2 linked regions of the Drosophila melanogaster genome follow. The protein of the gene in region 1 interacts with the protein of each later gene in a pairwise test. Each region holds a gene or a part of one and is shown on either strand. Other genes may lie near its edges.

Region 1 (7,742 bases):
ACTTACTTTTTTGTATATGATCATAAGTTCGACTTCTCTATTGTTTAGTATTTTTTTTTTTAAGCTGTCTATACTAATCACTAACTTAACGAACAAATCTATTGCCATAAACTACATTTTCTTAATTAACAAAATTTTTTTATATTTGAAATATAATTATAAAAACTCTTTCACTGGGCGTTTCTTGAGCGCTTGCAGTTTATAAATAGTTGTATTATTTTAACTTGAAATTCAAGTACCATTTATAAAATTCCTTAGCATTAGAAGACAATACAAATCTGCGCTAAAAATAAGCAAACTGTTTGTATTGATTTTATAGCTCACTTGTTTTGCTCAAAAGGTATGTACACTATATATATAATCGAGTATCAAAATTGGCGGTTTTGTTTATCCTTGGGCAGAAGGAAACCCTAATCCGACAACAAAATAATATAAGCAATAATTTGTCGCTGTGAAGAAAGCTAATGACTAATTGGCTAGCCATTAATTTTAAGTTTTGCTGCTCGGCAAAAAGTATAAATAAGTGAAAGTATAAATAACACTCATATAAGGAAAATAAACTCAGAAGTGCTGGGAAATCCTCTATATATTTCAAGACTGATTAAGATTTATGGCATTTCTCCAGTGCTCAAAGTACATTCTATTTGTTCGCATTATCAAAGCGAAATATATGGACGTGTTTGTTTGGCGGCAAAAAATAATCCATAAACAAATGAAAACAAGAGTGAATTGTTTTTTGGTTTTTTTTTTTCATTTTTTTTTTTTGCCATGGCATAACATTTATTTTTTCGCATACACAGTATTCCGTTGCTTCTTTTAGTATAAAAAAGTAGTACAAAAGTTCTATTTCTACTCGTGTTTGGCATTGTCAAACTGAAGTACGTGGATTTGTTTGCTCCGCGAAACAAAAACAAAAAAAATGGTAAAATGGTTGGGGCAAAATGCAAATAAAAAGCGAAACAAGTGTGCAAACAGGAGCAAACAAACGTGTGTCCAACAGGTGTGCGTGTGCGTCTGTGTGTGTGTGTAGAGTGTGCATGTGTGTGTTGTTTTTTTTTTCTGGGAGGGTGGGAAAGTGGGTGGTGTTTTCCAGGGTGGGTTGGCGGTTGGTGGGTGGCAGACGCATTGCGTTTATTTACTCGCCAGTCATCATCTCCATGAATTCTGTAAATTAAACAAAATGACAGACATTAAACCGATGCCATCGCGCCAGAGCAACCGCTATATGCATTTATAAATAAATATTCCATAAACACGAAAACAAAATGTAAATATGTACGTTATTCCGAGAATGAAAAATGCGTGTGGTGGAATCGAATTTGTGTGTCGCGCCCAAAAATAGCCAACGATATGCTCCTCCATGGGAGCGTTGATCACATCAAGCTGTCATAATCGAGCGATCTCAAGATCATCGAAATTTATGATCACTATACATATATATGTATGTATGCATGTGGGTGGATATGGATATGGATGTGAATGGAAAGCCACTAGAATGTATTAATATCAAACGGAATGGGCACTCACCATCGAAATCCACTGTACCGGAGCCATCGGAATCGATCTCCTCGATCATAATGTCCAGCTCCTGTTCGGTCAGCTGGTCGTCCAGCTCCTTGAGGATCTCCTTCAGGCAGGTGGTGGGAATGAAGCCATTGCCCTGCTTATCGTACAAACGGAACGCCTCGCGCAGCTCCTTCTGCATGGCCTCCGCATCCTCCTCCACGATGAACTTGGCAGCCAGCTGGACGAACTCGCCGAATTCCAAGCGACCGGACTCTGAAATGTGCCAAATATTCCAAGTGTTTATAATTAACTGCAAAAACGACTGGAAAGCCAGCGGCTAATGATGGGGCAACCAAAACGACTATGATCATAAATCAATGACAGCGAGTAACTAAAATTTAATCATCACTCGATGGTGAATCATCTGTGATTTGCTGTAATAGCCAGCTAAACCTTATTCAATAAATATATACATTTATTACTTGCAGCTGTCATAAGGTTATTTTTTTTATATTTTGTTCACTTTTGTTATTGGATCATAGAGTCACTTTTGCATAGAGTCTGCACATAATTACACCTATATAATATCTAAAAAACTGATTTCATTTCTAATTGTAAGATAATATTTTTTTTAGATGATAGATTTTTATAGATTATAGACTATAGATGTTGAAGGAAAATGTGTATATATAACTACACAAATCGATTAAACGAAAGAAAAAAACATCCATGAAATCGGCACAAGTGTACATATATATTATTGATGCATTTCTCATTTTTATTTTGTTTCATTTTATAATAACTATATGCATTTAGTTTTTGTAGAATTTTCACCCTGTTCTACTTGGGGACTGAAATAAATTAAATTAAATATATGCCACACAATTATTTTAATTGGCAGTTTGACTCAATGACTCAAATGCAAATGTTGTCTATTTTGAATTGTATTCATATTAAAATTGTAAATATAATAAAATATCATTGAAATACTCAGCAACTTTCGACTATATCTATCATACGTTGTAAAAATAGCGTTTACTTACTGTCCTCATCGACCTCCTCGATCAGTTCCTCCAGGATCTTCTTGTCGAAGGGCTGACCTGCAGTTGTAAAAACAATAAGTACTCCTTCATCCAAATGGACATCCTCAACCCCAAAACTCACCCATCAGGCGCAGTATGTCGGCGACCATCTCGGTGGGGATGGAGCCAGTCTTCTGGTGATCGAAGCTGTTGAACGCCTTCTGGAGCACGGCGATCTGCTCGGGTGTAAGATCTTCATCCTGGAATTGGACACACATTTAGGTATTAATCATCGACAATCCTGTGGAGCTGGAAAAATCTCAGATGCTTACGACGCTGCTCATGTTGCTGCTACTTTTGGGTATATCTTTGCCAATGGGATCTGTCTGATCAGCCTAATCTTGCGAAGCGATCGTCACGGAGTATTCGTTCCAACTGCGAGGCTGCGCGGATGCGTTTTCCAAAATATAGACCACAATCGGTGAACTTGCCACGGAAAAGCGGAAAAACACGAATGCGGCTGCCGATCAATCGGTGGATGTTCGGATCGTTGGAGTATATGTAGCGTTTTTCCACGCCGCTGCCCGAATTTTATTGTTTTTTAGAAATGACTGTAAAGTGCGATGGGAAAAAGCAAAAATAAAACGCGATCGGAGCGTATCCCGCCGCATTCGCTGCCCCGGAGACTGAACACGAGCCGTATAGTGGTTTTCCACGGCCACCGATCGCTCGTTGGATGGAGCACATCCCATCCAGTGGAGCGGCATGGGGAGCCGTCGACGGGGCAGCCACGATATCTGCATATGTGCGCCAGCCAGCTATAATGCGATGCGTTGCGCTGAGATCCCCGCATCCCCAAGTCTGCGAATATATATCTATATATTATATAGATATGTGTTTAGATTCAACGAACAGATGGAGAAATCCCCACTGGCACTGGAGCAATGCCCCCCATTCCGTTTGTCGCCGGAGAGCGAAACGTGGGCAGCGGCAGTGAGGAATGTTCTGCCCACATCCATGAATTGGTCGACAAGTTGCCAGTTTCTCTGTCCGATTCCCCGAATCCATTGTTCAATTGTCAAAATACAAGTGAATGGGTGGAAAACAATGTATGTCCATGCATTTATTTTCAATACATCAAACTCGAACAAAAGACTTTCTAAAAAGTAAAAGGTTGATTTTTCGATTGAAAATATACACCAAATAAGAAATTCTAAGTTCTCACGCTATATAAACATATTGAACATACAAGGTCATTATCTATTCAAGCGTTCCAAATAAATTACAAGACTTTTGGATTTGGAAAAAAATTTGAATTTTTTAGAGAGAATATCGGATATGCAAATAAGGATAAAGATATATAAATAGTCTTTTCCAGCTAACGTTTATTTAAATACAGCTGAATCCTTTATTGAGGAATATTTTTTTCATCCGTATACAATAAGACAACATTTATTTATCACATAAAAAACCGAACAGCTATTTCCGGAATTTTGAAAACCGATACGTTATCGGTAGTTGAAGCGAATTTGGTCTGGCAACTATCTGCGACGTTGCCATATTGATGACACAGCGATGGTTCGCATAAAGAATAGGTAAATATTGACCGCGTTTTCCTTAACGATCATTAATTAAACCATCCATAAACAGGTATATAGCGGTGCAGATTGTGCCCTACACGCCAACACAATCTCTGCGACTCAACGACCACAGCCTGACCAAGATCCTGCTTCAGAATGTGGAGAAGTATTACGGAGTCTATGGCCTCGCCGTGATCGAGCAGGGATTTCGAGTGAAATACATCAACGATCGCACGAAAATGGCAATCATACGCTGTCTCCATCGAGGCCAACGCTTCGTGTCCAGCGTATTGCCATTGATTACTTTGGTTGGTCTCATTGCCATGTCCTTAAACCAGCTATAAAACCACATTTCTTTCAGATCGGAGATGTACGGGCCAAGTTTAGGACGCTGTACATTGGTGCCACCATCATCCAATGCAACAAGTTCATAGTCAAGCACCAAAAACAGTTCCTGGACCGCACCATGGGTCAGATAACCTCCGCCAAGGAGCGCCAGGATCTCTTCAAGCGCGTAATGGAGTTCGACATGGACAGATAGCACATAGTTTGTTTAGAATGTAATTAAGTAATTATATTTAATGGTTTTCTTATAGAAAACCCATGCTTCCAATTCAACTAAAATGTGAGTGTTTTTGGTATCGTTCTAAACTTCGATGAGGAATTTGCGACTCGGTGAGCGGGCAACCTTGGCTCCAAATTGCTTTATTCTCTGCCGGACGTCGGCCAACGTCAGCTTGTTCCTCTTGCTGTAGACATTGAGATATATGCCCAGGACAACGATGAGGCCCGACCACAGATATCTGAAAGTTTGGGATAGGTATAATAGAGCTTTGTCTTTAGAAATACACAGAATAGTACTTACTGTAAGGTAAAGGGCTTGCTGAAAAGCACAAAGGAGAAGGCTATAGTCACAGCCTTGCGGGCGGTGGTCACTGTGGCAGCTATGGGGGCACCACTACTCCTCACCAGAGCCAGCACAAACTGAATGCCCAGATAGCCGGACAAACTAAAGAGGAAGCCATAGCCGAAGGTCTCAACGGGATGCTAAATGGATAATACACTTTAGATCTCTTACATCATAAACCTCAAATGTTACCCACCTCCAAACAGAATGCAAAGCCGCTGAAGAAGTTGCCGGTAACCAGCATAATCACAAATAGGTACACAAAACCCAAGCCGTATGAGTAGAACACCACCTCACTGCTGGGCGCCTTGAATTCCCGCATCGCCTTCTCCTGGACATTGCCAATGGCTGCGTCGCAGAGCAGCGCTCCCGAAATCATGGCCACACCAAGCAGATTGAAATTGGGCGTCATCTGGGAGTCGGCCAGCGTGAACCAGGCCAATCCGATGCACATGCAGGTGGCTGCCGCAAAGTCCAGCAGTCCGTAGCGTTTGCCCTGTATGAGGATGCTGCCCACCAGCACGGGAATGAGCTTGCAGCACTTGAAAATCACCTGGGTGGGATAGTTCAGGTAGCCGAGACTTGAGTTGGACAGACCCATGGTACCCAGCGTGAGAGCAGCCAGAATTAGGTATGTTCTCATGGGAATGCAACGTGGCTCCGGCTCAATGTTCCAAAAGGAACCGCCGCTTATCCGATAGCCCTCCAGCCGCCGCTCCACCAAACCGAAGCCGATGTAGTAGCCAAACTGGACGAGCGTGAGGAACCATCCGTAGGGTTTGAATCCTTCGACGGTGAAGATCAGCTCCTGCAGATAGCCGTACAGGATGTACAGGAAGAAGACGCCGGCGCAGCTGAGCAGGAACTGAGTTGTGCGATTGTAGTAGGTGAGGTCAAAGCAAAGGATACGGAGTTCCGGCGGAGATTCCGACGTCGAGGACTTCCGCTGCGAGGGCGGCGAGTTTCCCGCCGATTCGCCGCCATTAATGGTGATAACGCTCCCCTTATTATCGGTCATTCTGCTGCTAGCGGATGTGTCTATATACATATACACACTATATAGTGGCTATTTCAAGATTATATTTCCAGGGAGCCCGTGTAATTCAATGCCACGCTGTCCGCGGAGTTGTCGGTTTAAAGTGCGGATTTGTCATGCCTCCTCGGATGCTGCATTAATCACGGGCCGGCGTGGAGATTTCTGTTGGGTGCAAATTGCCCTGGCTAAATGTTTGTTTACCACAAATAAACTATTTTTGTCAGCTTAGAACTGAGATAGACGCGCGGCGTTGCCACGTTGTGGTAATAATAGAAGAGAGACCGGTATAACGTGGAACAAGTTGGCAGCTCTGCTACCACCGTCATTCTAATTGGAACTTCTGCTACTGGCAATAAATACATTTAACAAATGAGCAGCGATAAAGGTTTAAGCCGCTTTTTTGCTCAAAAAAGCGTATGATAAGCGCTAAAAACTACTTAAAAAGTAGTGCCGAGAGTAACTCCTAGTATTTGACTACATGTCGTTCTAAGAATACAAAGATATGGGCACACTGTCGGAAAAAACAAGAAGAAGCAGTGAAAAGTGCCGCTGAAAAAGTGCAAAAAGTTATGAATTTAGTATTTTACATAGGATAATAGTGCTAATAACAGTCGCAAAATGGACGTGCAACCGCCACGCGGTAAGTGCAGCAATTAAAAAGTGCTGAATATAACTTAAAATCAAGCTAATTTTGTGCCCAAGTCGATTGGCATGCACATGTGTACACATACAAACAAACAAGCGCACGCACAACCTTTGATATGCTCACATTTTTTGCAAAAACCATTTGCTTTCTATTTGCAGATGCCAGTTTACGAAATATTATCGACAAACTGGCGGAGTTTGTGGCCAGAAATGGGCCGGAATTCGAGGCGATAACCAAGCAGAAGCAGCAGAACAATCCAAAGTTCGAGTTCCTCTACGGCGGGGAGTTCGCCAACTATTATCAATTCAGGGTGGCAGCGGAACAAGCTCGTGAGTGCGTTCTAAATTGGTGGAAAATAACCCCTATAATCTCCTTTTAACACCCAATACAGTGCTAAAGCAACAGGCCATTAACCAACAACTGCCACCAGGTGCTCCATCCGGCCACTACATGCAACATCCGCCGCCAATGCAGCAATCCCAACCACCGGGCCTCTATCCGCCACCCAATCAGCAGCCACCGCACCCGCCCGAAACCGCACAAGACAATATGCAACAGCAAACACAGCACTCCTGGCCGCCGAACTCCGGCAACGGTGGGCCGCCAAACAATCAGCAGGCCAATGGCAATCCCATGGCCATGAATCTAACGTCACAACTGGAAGCCATCAAGATGCAGCAGAAGTCGCTGCGGGAACAGATCCAGCAATCCGAAGCGAATCTCTCCGCACAGCACACGGTAATTTGAAGTTGGAAATAACTGGGATACCTCTATATGCCCACCTTTGCAAGCCTTTTTCCGAAAGATTAGAGCAGCTCGAGTGTATAAAGAAAAGATTTCAATATGATTTCATGTTGAATGTTGGCCTCCTCTGGCAAAAATTTAAAGAAGCAAATTGGTTTCCTTTTTAAACTAAATACCCACCTAAAAGTTGCTTTTATAGTCTGAATATAAGAACGTGTTTGCTTCTTCGAATTTTTGACCTCCCTTTTAAACGACCCAATCGAATGTGAATATACCTCGATTTTAAGCCAGAATGCTTTTA
Region 2 (9,508 bases), on another chromosome or scaffold:
GTCTGCCCACGCGGAACGCCGCCAGATGGTGGAGACGTGGAAGAGCGCCGTGAACCAGATGACCCAGCGAGAGCACGACATTCAGCGCAGCGAGATAGAGTGTGCGGAGCTGGCCCAGAAAGCCCAGCAGACGGCTCAGACCTACAAGGAGTACGACAACCAGCTAACCGAGGTCATCGAGAACAACCGCCAGGTGGAGCTCGCGATCGAGTCCCTCAACGAGGAAAGCTCCGACATGAAAAACCAAATCCAGATCCTGATTGATGCCACATTACTGAAGGAGCGCGAGATCGACGGACTGCGTCGGGAACTGGAGAACCTTTCGAACCGGGTTCACCTGCAGCGCATGGATAACCGTAGTCAGATGAAAAAGCGCGATGAGAAGGCCAAGGAGCTGGAGAACTTCGCTTCGGTGATGGAGAAGGTTAACGCTCGGCTGAAGTCTGTACAGAACAAGGCCCTCAATGCGGAGCAGCGGCTGCAAATTCTGGAGGAGATGATGCAGGCGGAGGAGACGGCTCTGCGAAACCTGGACAAGGAGCAGGAGAAGGTCAACGAGATGTTGTACCGCACCCAGAGGCAGGTCATCGAGCTGCAGGACGAGGAGAAGGTCTTGAAGGTGCAGAACGACTCGCTCAACTCCAACCTGGCAGCGATCAATCGCAATCAGCAGCAGGTCAATAACGAACTCAAGCGGCAGACGGAGATCCATTACAGCCTGTCCTTTAAGTGCTTGGAGGCGGAGCGGCGTCTCGCCGAGATCAAGGGTCTGGCAGATGACCCCGAGGTAGAGGCCACAAACATGGCCCGGCTTAACACTCTGGAGCAGGAGTATGAAAAGTTGCAACGCCTCATCGCCACCACGGAGGCGCAGAATAAGAAGCTAAACTATAACATGAACAACCTGGTCGTCCAGTACAACGCCGACGAGAAGGAGCTCGAAATGGTCAGGTTCAAGATTAAAGAGGCCCAGGTGTACTGCGAGGGCACCGTCAAGAGACTGCGCCAGATTCGATACGAGAATTCCGAGCTCATAGTCGACCTCAACATGGTCAAGATGCGCTGCAGCGACCTAGAGGTTGGCATCGGAGGCTGCGAGCAGGGCACCTACGACCTAGAGCAGCACCGCCTTGCCTTCCGGCGCGCCATCAAAGATCGCACCGTTGAGCTTCGCAGCCAAGAGGATGTGCTCCTCCTCAAGAAGAAGCATCTTAACGAGGAACTAAGCACCCTGCGAGCCGACCTCGGGGAGCGGAAGAAGCAGATTGAGGCGATGAAGGCGCGCTTTGAACTTACCGCCCAATTGCTAGGCAAAAACGAGGACGGCTCCATCATGACCAGCACACAGCTGAAGGTGGTGAGCGCCCAGGAACGGCAGATGCTGGCCGACGAGGGCGATGCCCTCAACAAAAAGGTTCTCAAGGCTGAGAAGGAAGTGGTCGCCCTGGAAAACACACTGCGCCAGTTCGACAAATCGAACGATAACTACCGAAAAACATTCCGATCTGTGGACGAAAACTCAAAGGGTGAGTTATAAATGACCATTCAGAGTGGAAAGGGTTACTAGTATTAGCAACATTGCTCTAATTTTGAATTTTAATAACACTCACAGATACAGATATTGAATAGGAACAAATTAGGTTTTCTGGCTCTATAAAGAATAGATATTCTTGATCAAGATCCATACCTGAGTCGATCTGGCCATTTCCGTCCGTCCGTTCCGACTTTCAGTAACTATAATAGCACATTAAGCGGTCATATTCTAGCCATGTCTACAAGCCGGGTGGCTTAGAATTGTGTAATTCAATGTTAAATTGGTAGATTTTTTCCATACTTCTAATTTCTAGATCGCGAGCGGGCCGAACTGGAGCTGAAGGAACTTGAGGCGGCCTACTGCCGCGAGCTGGAAAAACTGAAGGTTCTCAGGTGCAAGGCACAGCACTACCAGCAGAAGCACGCAGCCCAGCGAGCTGAGGAGGAAGACCTGATTTCCAAAATAGAGAAGGCGAAGGCTAGTCGGGCGGAGCACTCTGCAGTTCTGGAGAAGATCGAGCGCGAACTAGATGACCAGCGAATGAAGCTGGACAGGGCCAATCGAGAGATCCGGACACAGTTGCGGGAGATCAAGGCGCGGCCCTTTAGCGAGGAGTACCTGGCGCAGTTCGAGCGGGATCTGTCTCTACAGGAGCTGGAGGCGCGTAACACCAAGGCGCTGAACATGATCACCGATCTGGCGAACAGCGACGAGAGCGGCACGGATATAATTGGAATCCTCTTGCGAAAAGGAATCAAGTTGCCGATGCACCTGAAGCGCACGTGCAGCCGCGTGTCCTGGAACAGCAGCTCCTCGGGCAAGTCCTCGCAGGGTCAGGACACCGCCTCCTACCTCAATGTTAAGGGCAAGAAGTTCTCCTGCGACGGGGCTAGTGCCCGGTCCTCCGTCTCCGACATGAGCTCCCTTAAGGATGACACATCCTCCACAACCTCCCACTCCGGACTGAGCATCATATCGCTTGAGTTGCCCTTGCCGAAGAAAAAATAATAGTCTAAAATATATTTATTTATTATTCCGTTCGATATCCGATGATCTCAACCCGTATGCTCGTATCTTCACGTGTTGGCATCGCAGTGTTTACAAATTGACCATCTAAACGAAACAGCGAATAAAATGCGTTGCCCAAGCGGGTCAAAACAAGAGAGCATCGCGGCCATAAAAATAGCACACAGCGATTCAGTGGGGGTATAGCTCGGTGCACATACACATAGGCGGACAAATGTGTGTGTCTAGGCGATTGCTTGTTTAAATCGCTGAATAGTAAATACTCTACAAAAGTATTACACAAAATATGTATATTAGCTACCACCTTTGGTGTGGGTTTTGTATTGGTTTTGATCAGATCTCAAGTAAGCTCATTACAGCATTAAGATTTAGACGGATATGCTAATTCAATCTGAAATACTCAATCTTCGTATTTTCCTAATAAAGAAATATATATAATAATAATATTTTCTCAGTTCTTATTTACGAAAATGAAACGAATGATTTTCACTGGTCCGAAACTAAAATCGAAAGAAGAAATCTCCAATAAGAGTACATATTAATGTGTTTACTTTTTATGGAGTGCTTAAAAAATGGAGCGACAATTGCAGTAACCAACCATATTCCAATTGGATATTGGCGGAAAAGCCAATTATTAAACCAATCTGGCGATAATGATAGATCTCTAGATAAGTCCCGCAAATCGCATGTGGTCATCTCAGCGAATTGCTCCTGCGCATCGTGCGTTACAAAGACTAGAACGAAGGCTATATGGCCGCCAGTGCAACATATATCGGCCAGAAATAATTCTACATACATATAGTATATAGCCGTGCTCAGAGCTATATTTCGAAATGAGCTACCCAGAGACACGGAGAAAAGAGACTGCCTTGTTCGAGAGATGGGATTTCGGTGCTGCGAGTGTTTCCGAAAGTCTTCTTGACGATTCGACGATCCGCGCCGGGCATTTCATTATTTTTCATTATTTCGTTAGCTGGCATCGGTGCCGAGAAGTCAGATTGCTGGGCCCAAAGTTTTCAAAAATCTTCACTTGCTGATATTTTTAGAAAATTTTGAAAGCAGAAAGACTAGGCAGTCTGGGAATGGACTCCTGAATAGATGATCACAGACCGAACAGGAGGATAATCCCAATAGGAGGTGAAGCATTTGCATAAGATTCGATTGAGTGCACTGGCGAAATGTGTTCCACCTCGGTGCTGTGTCCGCTCTGCGCGGTGCCCAGTTTCGGCAGTATTGACGCACTGCAGCAGAGGCTGATCAAGGCGGCCAACGGCCCACTGGCCTGTCCCTTTGCCAACTGCAAGGAGCTCTTCCTGGGGCTGGACAAGCTCACCATCCACCTGTTCTCGCACACAAGTCTGATGGCTCAGGAGGGAAACGAGAGTCCAGCGAATGGCCAACCCGCCTCGTCCCGGGGCTTCCTTGCCGCAGCTCCTCCCAAACGGAGGGCCAAGCGAACCAGGTCCAAGCCCGTCGTCCCAACCCCACCGCCTGTGCGGACCACCCCGCCCGCCCACTGCGACATTTGCGAGTTCAGTTTCCGGAATACCGAGCTGAGGGACATGCACGTCCGCTTAGTCCACGAAAATGCGGAGGGAGAACCCAAGCAAAAGGAACCCCAACAGAAGGAACCGGTAACTATTGGCTATGTACATATATTAAGTGCTATTATCTAAAGAGTTTCGTAATGCACTTTCGCATATTCTTATATCGATTTTGATTTTTTTTTTCTATGCTCACTGGCAGCAAAAAAAAATCATACTTAAAAAGCTAGACCATTTACATTGAATCTGAAACAAAAGTTTGACGTAATTAAAATCAACAACAACAAGAAAGAAATCTATATACCCTTATATTTTAAAAACAACTGATGTATGTACGTATATCGTTCCCATTATTTTCAATTAATTTTTCAACTGTTCATATGACTATGTATATATATGATAGATATTAATTTGTTTTTGATCAATTTAAAACCATGGCAACTTTGTGATATAGTGAATGAAAGTGAATGATTTTTGTGCATAAATTTGAAACTGAGAGACAGACGGTAATGTAATGGAATATTTGGCCATGAGGGCATATTGATGAATTGATAAATATAAGTGAAATTCCGATTATTGCTTTATACAGGACCAGGAGCCCTACAAGTGCCATCTCTGCTCCAAGACGTTCCGAATGAAGGGCTCCCTTCGAATCCACCTGAAAGTAGTGCACATGATGGGCGTGCCCTGCTCCAATCCCAATCCAAATCCTAATCCCAGTCCTACACCCGCTTCTACCACCAGTGCAGTTACTGCCACGCCCAAGCTGAGCATTTGCGATCGCATTCGACACACAGAGCCTGGAGCCCTTGGCAACGGAAATAACTCCACGTGCACCGCATCCCAGCCATACGCGCTGAGTGGGGCGCTGAGCATGCTCCAGCAGTCCCCCAGTTCGCCGGAGTCGGGCACGGCCACCCCGAAGCTGTGGGAGTGCGATGTGTGCAGCAAGTCCTTCACCACCAAGTACTTTCTGAAGAAGCACAAGCGGCTCCACACCGGCGAGATGCCGTACACATGCGAGATCTGCGCCAGGACCTTCACCTTCCAGCAGTCGTACCACAAGCATTTGCTCTACCACAGCGAGGTAAAGCCCCATGTCTGCGGGGTTTGTGGACGCGCCTTCAAGGAACTGTCTACGCTGCATAACCACCAGAGGATTCACAGCGGCGAAAAGCCCTTCAAGTGCGAAGTCTGCGGTGAGTATCGATCAAACCCCTTAATTAGCCGCCCCTTATTTTGTTAGCCAGCTTATAAATGAGCATACTCCATTGCGATTTGCCCTATTTACTTTAAATGAAGGAGAGGTATACCTTCTTTTCCGGGTCACTCCATGTCTAACCTTTTCGTATTTCGGACTCGTCCACAGGCAAGTGTTTCCGGCAGCGAGTCTCTTTCCTTGTCCACACGCGCATCCACACGGGAGTGATGCCCTACAAGTGCGAGCTCTGCCAAAAGACGTTCAGGTACAAGGTCAGTCAAAGGACCCATCGATGTCCCACCGAGGAGGCCCAGACACCGGAGCAGCTGATAAAGGCGTTCCTGGAGGGCAACGACTCGCATACTCAGCCTTCACCAGCGAGCGCCGAAATAGCTGCCATCAACAGCAGCTCCATTGTGGATCCTGAGCAGGAGGCACTGCTTTCGCAGTCAATCGACGACATTGTCGTTGAGCAGTGCCAAAAGCTGGGCATCTGTGGTGTGGAGCCGCGGGAGGAGGGACAGCTCATATCCCTACAGCCGGTTGCGGTGGTACACTTCAGCGGGAATGGCTCTCCGCTGCAGCAACTCCAGAACTTGAGAATCTACTCACCGCAACAAACAGAGCTACCTAGTTCCGATGGCGAAGTCTTCCAGCGCTTTTTGATGGACGCCACGTAGTTGGAACGAAGATGCATATATCCACTTAATTTATACCCTTTTATATCATTTTACATTGTTTGCACTTCCCCAAAGGCGATCTAATCAATTCCTAAGCACCCCCTAAGAAAAACGTCTTAATTACATCTTCTTATGAGGATATTATTTGAATCTTAGTTGTTTTATCTCAGCCAAGTGTAAATCGACTAGGACCCGACTTGTTTGCAATACAACAACAACATCTAATATAAATTATGTTAAACTGCCGATTTTATTTAAAACTATTCTGGGCAACGAACCCGAGCGCTGAGTTGAGGCGAAAATGATATTAAATCGAGTTAGTTCAGTTTTCAAATGTACTTGGTTGATTATAAACTTATTTATTATGAACGCCGTTTTTTGTAATTAATCATTCATCTGAGGCGCTTCCAGAGCTGGATCCTGAACCAGAAGGCGAGCCACTGCGAGACCGGCTGGGCGATCGCGACCCAGAGCCAGATCTGGAGCCCGAACGTGATCGGGAACCGGACTTGGATCTCGACCTAGAACGCGACCGAGAGCCGGACTTGGAACGGGATCGGGAACGTGATACCGATCTCGATCTGGATCCGGATTTCTGGGATCCTGCCGGCGAATTTGTGCGTGATCTGGAGCCGCTACCAGACCGAGAACCAGACTTTGAGCGGCTGCTGGCCCGAGAGCCGGAGCCAGATCCAGATCCTGAACTGGACCCGCTGCGAGTTCGACTCCGAGAACGAGACTGTCGATCGCGGGCTACCTGGGCGGGTGAGTCCGCTCCAGATGCTGCCTGTGCGCCAACAGCTGCGTCCTCGCTCGTCTTCTCCGTCTCGCCAATGATTTGCATTTGCTCCTCTTCCCTCACTTCTTCCACGATCTCCTCCTCCTCGCCAGGAACTTCTAGCTGGCGCTCGCGATAGCGCTGCATACGATGCTCCATGCTGTCCAATGGACGATGCTTGACAACCTGGTAGAAATAATACAAAGTAAAGCTCGCTATAGATGTATGCGCATAAATATACTTACCAGCTTGGTGTTGTTGGGTTGCTGGCCAACCTTAACGCGACGCTTGTTAAGGCGCACACGGGTTTCTAGCTCGTTGTAGTAGATGCCGTCCTGACGCATCACGAAGAAGTAGTTTTCTTCGTAGCCCTTGGAAGCTTTGGTCTTCACGTTCCAGTTGTACTCTCGAGCGATCTTGTACTCGTACTCCTCCTCCTCCTTGTACAGCTCGCCATTGATGAAGTCTGTACGGCGTTTCTCCAGCGTCTGCTCTGTGGGCAGGAAGTAGGCGACAAACTGTTCGCCGCTCTCGTCCATCACACCACGAATCATGGCCTGCGACATCTCCTCCAGCTGGGCGGGCACGTTCTTGCCCGCAGGAGCGGGATCACTGTCAAATATGACCTGGGCGCACGGGAACTTCCAGTTGGTGAAGTCGGGGAAGATAGGCAGTACCTCCACTGGCACCACATTGGGCTTGGAATAGTGCTTGGTAATTTCGCTCTTGGTGTCGCTGAAGGTCTTCTCGATGGCTTTGATCTGGGCTTCGCGGTCCAGGTAGAGAGTCTCCTCCCGAAGCGACTTCTTGACGTTGTAACCGACCTTGGCCTCGATGTTCTCCAGGTTCTGGGGCTGGAAGCGCGTCTGCTCGGTGGAGATGTACTCGGATTTGCGCAACCATGACACCGTCCTCGAATGCTGGCGCGAACGCACAGAGTCTGTGGGCGTCAGAGTCTCCTCCTCCAGCAGTTTTTCATCGGCGGGGTCCAGCAGCGTCATGGAGTCGGCCTGATAGAGCTCCCGGTTAATCAGGTCCACCGTGACACCCAAATCGTGTTCCGTCAGCACGTCATACTTGAAGTTACGCTCTAGCGACGTTGGGTTGTACTGCACGAAGCGGTGGCTGTCGAAGGGGTACTGCAGAAACTTCAGATCAAATGGTATATCCGGCAGGTTGTTTCCATACTTCACGCGGCAAATGATCTCGGATCTGCAAGGTACACATCAGTCTGAGTATCTGGCGTCTGTTTAGGGATCTGTTCACTTACTTGCGCTCCGTTTGCCGCTGGGGTCGCTTTTCGGCGGCACTGTTTACCGCCGAATTGTTGATCGTGGGTGGCATTGTGTCTTCCAACAGGTAATTCAACTCAAGCCCCAGTTTTGGTAGCGCTTCTAGTCCATCAAGAGGCCAAATCTAGAAATCCTCAAATCTGCGCTTGGCAGTGTGACCGTACTTGACCGGTACGATAATACCTTCGGTAAAAAAAATACTATATTTCCGGGGACTCAAATGCAACATCCTCATCGTATATAACACAACATCTATTTGAATTTCATTTCCACAACTAATATTATGGATAATGCTTTATTATCATTTTCCAAGTTAGCGATAAATCACCCCACAAGCTGAAAAATCAACGTTTAAAAACGATTGATATTTTTTTTAATACTTTTTGGTTTTACTATTTGAATTTTTGTATACTTTTAGATTTTACTATTTTAATTTTTCGTTTCTTCTAGCTGACTAACGGGTAAAAAAGGATCCGATCCTGATTACGAACGGCTACCAGAAATGATTAGTATATAAATGATATATGTATATAAAGTACTGGATAATAGAAAAGCTCCCACAATGCTCCCAAAAATGCTCTCAGTGTTTGTTCGAATTTATCGCCCCATCATCCATAAGCCATCTAATTTCCAATAAGTCACAGATCATTATCGCTGTTTATTTTCATTTTCTTTCAATAATATCCAATCTATATCTGTCTGTAACGAAACATGTCTAGTTTCCTTTTGGTTATTTTCATTTTATTGGCGCTTAGAACGTCAGAGTCTTCTGAAACTGGAAACCCACTTGCAAACGAGCCCGATCCATTATATATGAAACTGGTGGATCCCATGGTAGCAGGAGAATCACCTAAAAGGATGATTAAGGATCAGAAAGATGTAGGCCTTAAATCAACTAGCAGTAGCGAAGAGCTCCGAAAATTGCCAAAAACGCGAGGTCGACAGAAGAGATTCATTCGGAATCCAAACTATGTGAAAGCTAACGAATTCTATGATAAGATGTTAAGCAGTGAATACGTAAGTAAGCGGTATAAGGATCTTCCGCCGCCTCATCCGGGATTTGGAGCGGATCAACCGCCAGCATGAACAGTGAATAACCAGTGGAATCTGTGAAATTTTCCTGTTGGCCATTCACATTATACGGCGACCATAATGACTGGGAAATTGCCAAAGTAAACAATATCAGCTCCACGGATTCCCAATGCAAATAAACACAAAGCCCAATAAATTGAATTAGCAGCAGATATTATCTCTCTTTTCTTTTGTTGATAAAATATGATTGTCACCTGTTTTGTTGTGGCGTTTGTTTAAAAGGTATCACTTAGTTGGAAGCTGCGAAAATCCGGGCGGGAGGGAGTTCAATAACAAGGTTAAGCGCAAAGGAATAGATCTTTGCGATTTTCATAGGTTTATTTACATCGGATATTAACGCGGAGACGACTTTGCAAAATAA

What was found.
Region 2: the proteins of TpnC73F (region 1) and CG14655 interact in a two-hybrid assay, tested with the Drosophila melanogaster proteins (one large-scale study listed by BioGRID).

What each region holds. Positions count from the first base shown.
Region 1 is NT_037436.4:17,041,387-17,049,128, reverse strand, and holds TpnC73F (troponin C at 73F), read right to left. Parts: upstream 3,067-7,742; 5' UTR 2,873-3,066; coding exon 2,861-2,872; intron 2,789-2,860; coding exon 2,671-2,788; intron 2,607-2,670; coding exon 2,550-2,606; intron 1,780-2,549; coding exon 1,528-1,779; intron 1,165-1,527; coding exon 1,136-1,164; 3' UTR 739-1,135; downstream 1-738. Other genes in the region: POP5 ribonuclease P/MRP subunit, read left to right, coding at 4,104-4,123, 4,179-4,416, 4,470-4,649; Papst2 (PAPS transporter 2), read right to left, coding at 4,755-4,911, 4,974-5,155, 5,212-6,063; scaf6 (SR-related CTD associated factor 6), read left to right, coding at 6,670-6,691, 6,856-7,026, 7,089-7,435.
Region 2 is NT_033777.3:4,774,305-4,783,812, reverse strand, and holds CG14655 (uncharacterized protein), read left to right. Parts: upstream 1-3,510; 5' UTR 3,511-3,738; coding exon 3,739-4,194; intron 4,195-4,693; coding exon 4,694-5,303; intron 5,304-5,473; coding exon 5,474-5,985; 3' UTR 5,986-6,316; downstream 6,317-9,508. Other genes in the region: Ccdc39 (Coiled-coil domain containing protein 39), read left to right, coding at 1-1,526, 1,848-2,542; atms (antimeros), read right to left, coding at 6,374-6,949, 7,009-7,975, 8,034-8,107; CG44088 (uncharacterized protein), read left to right, coding at 8,767-9,141.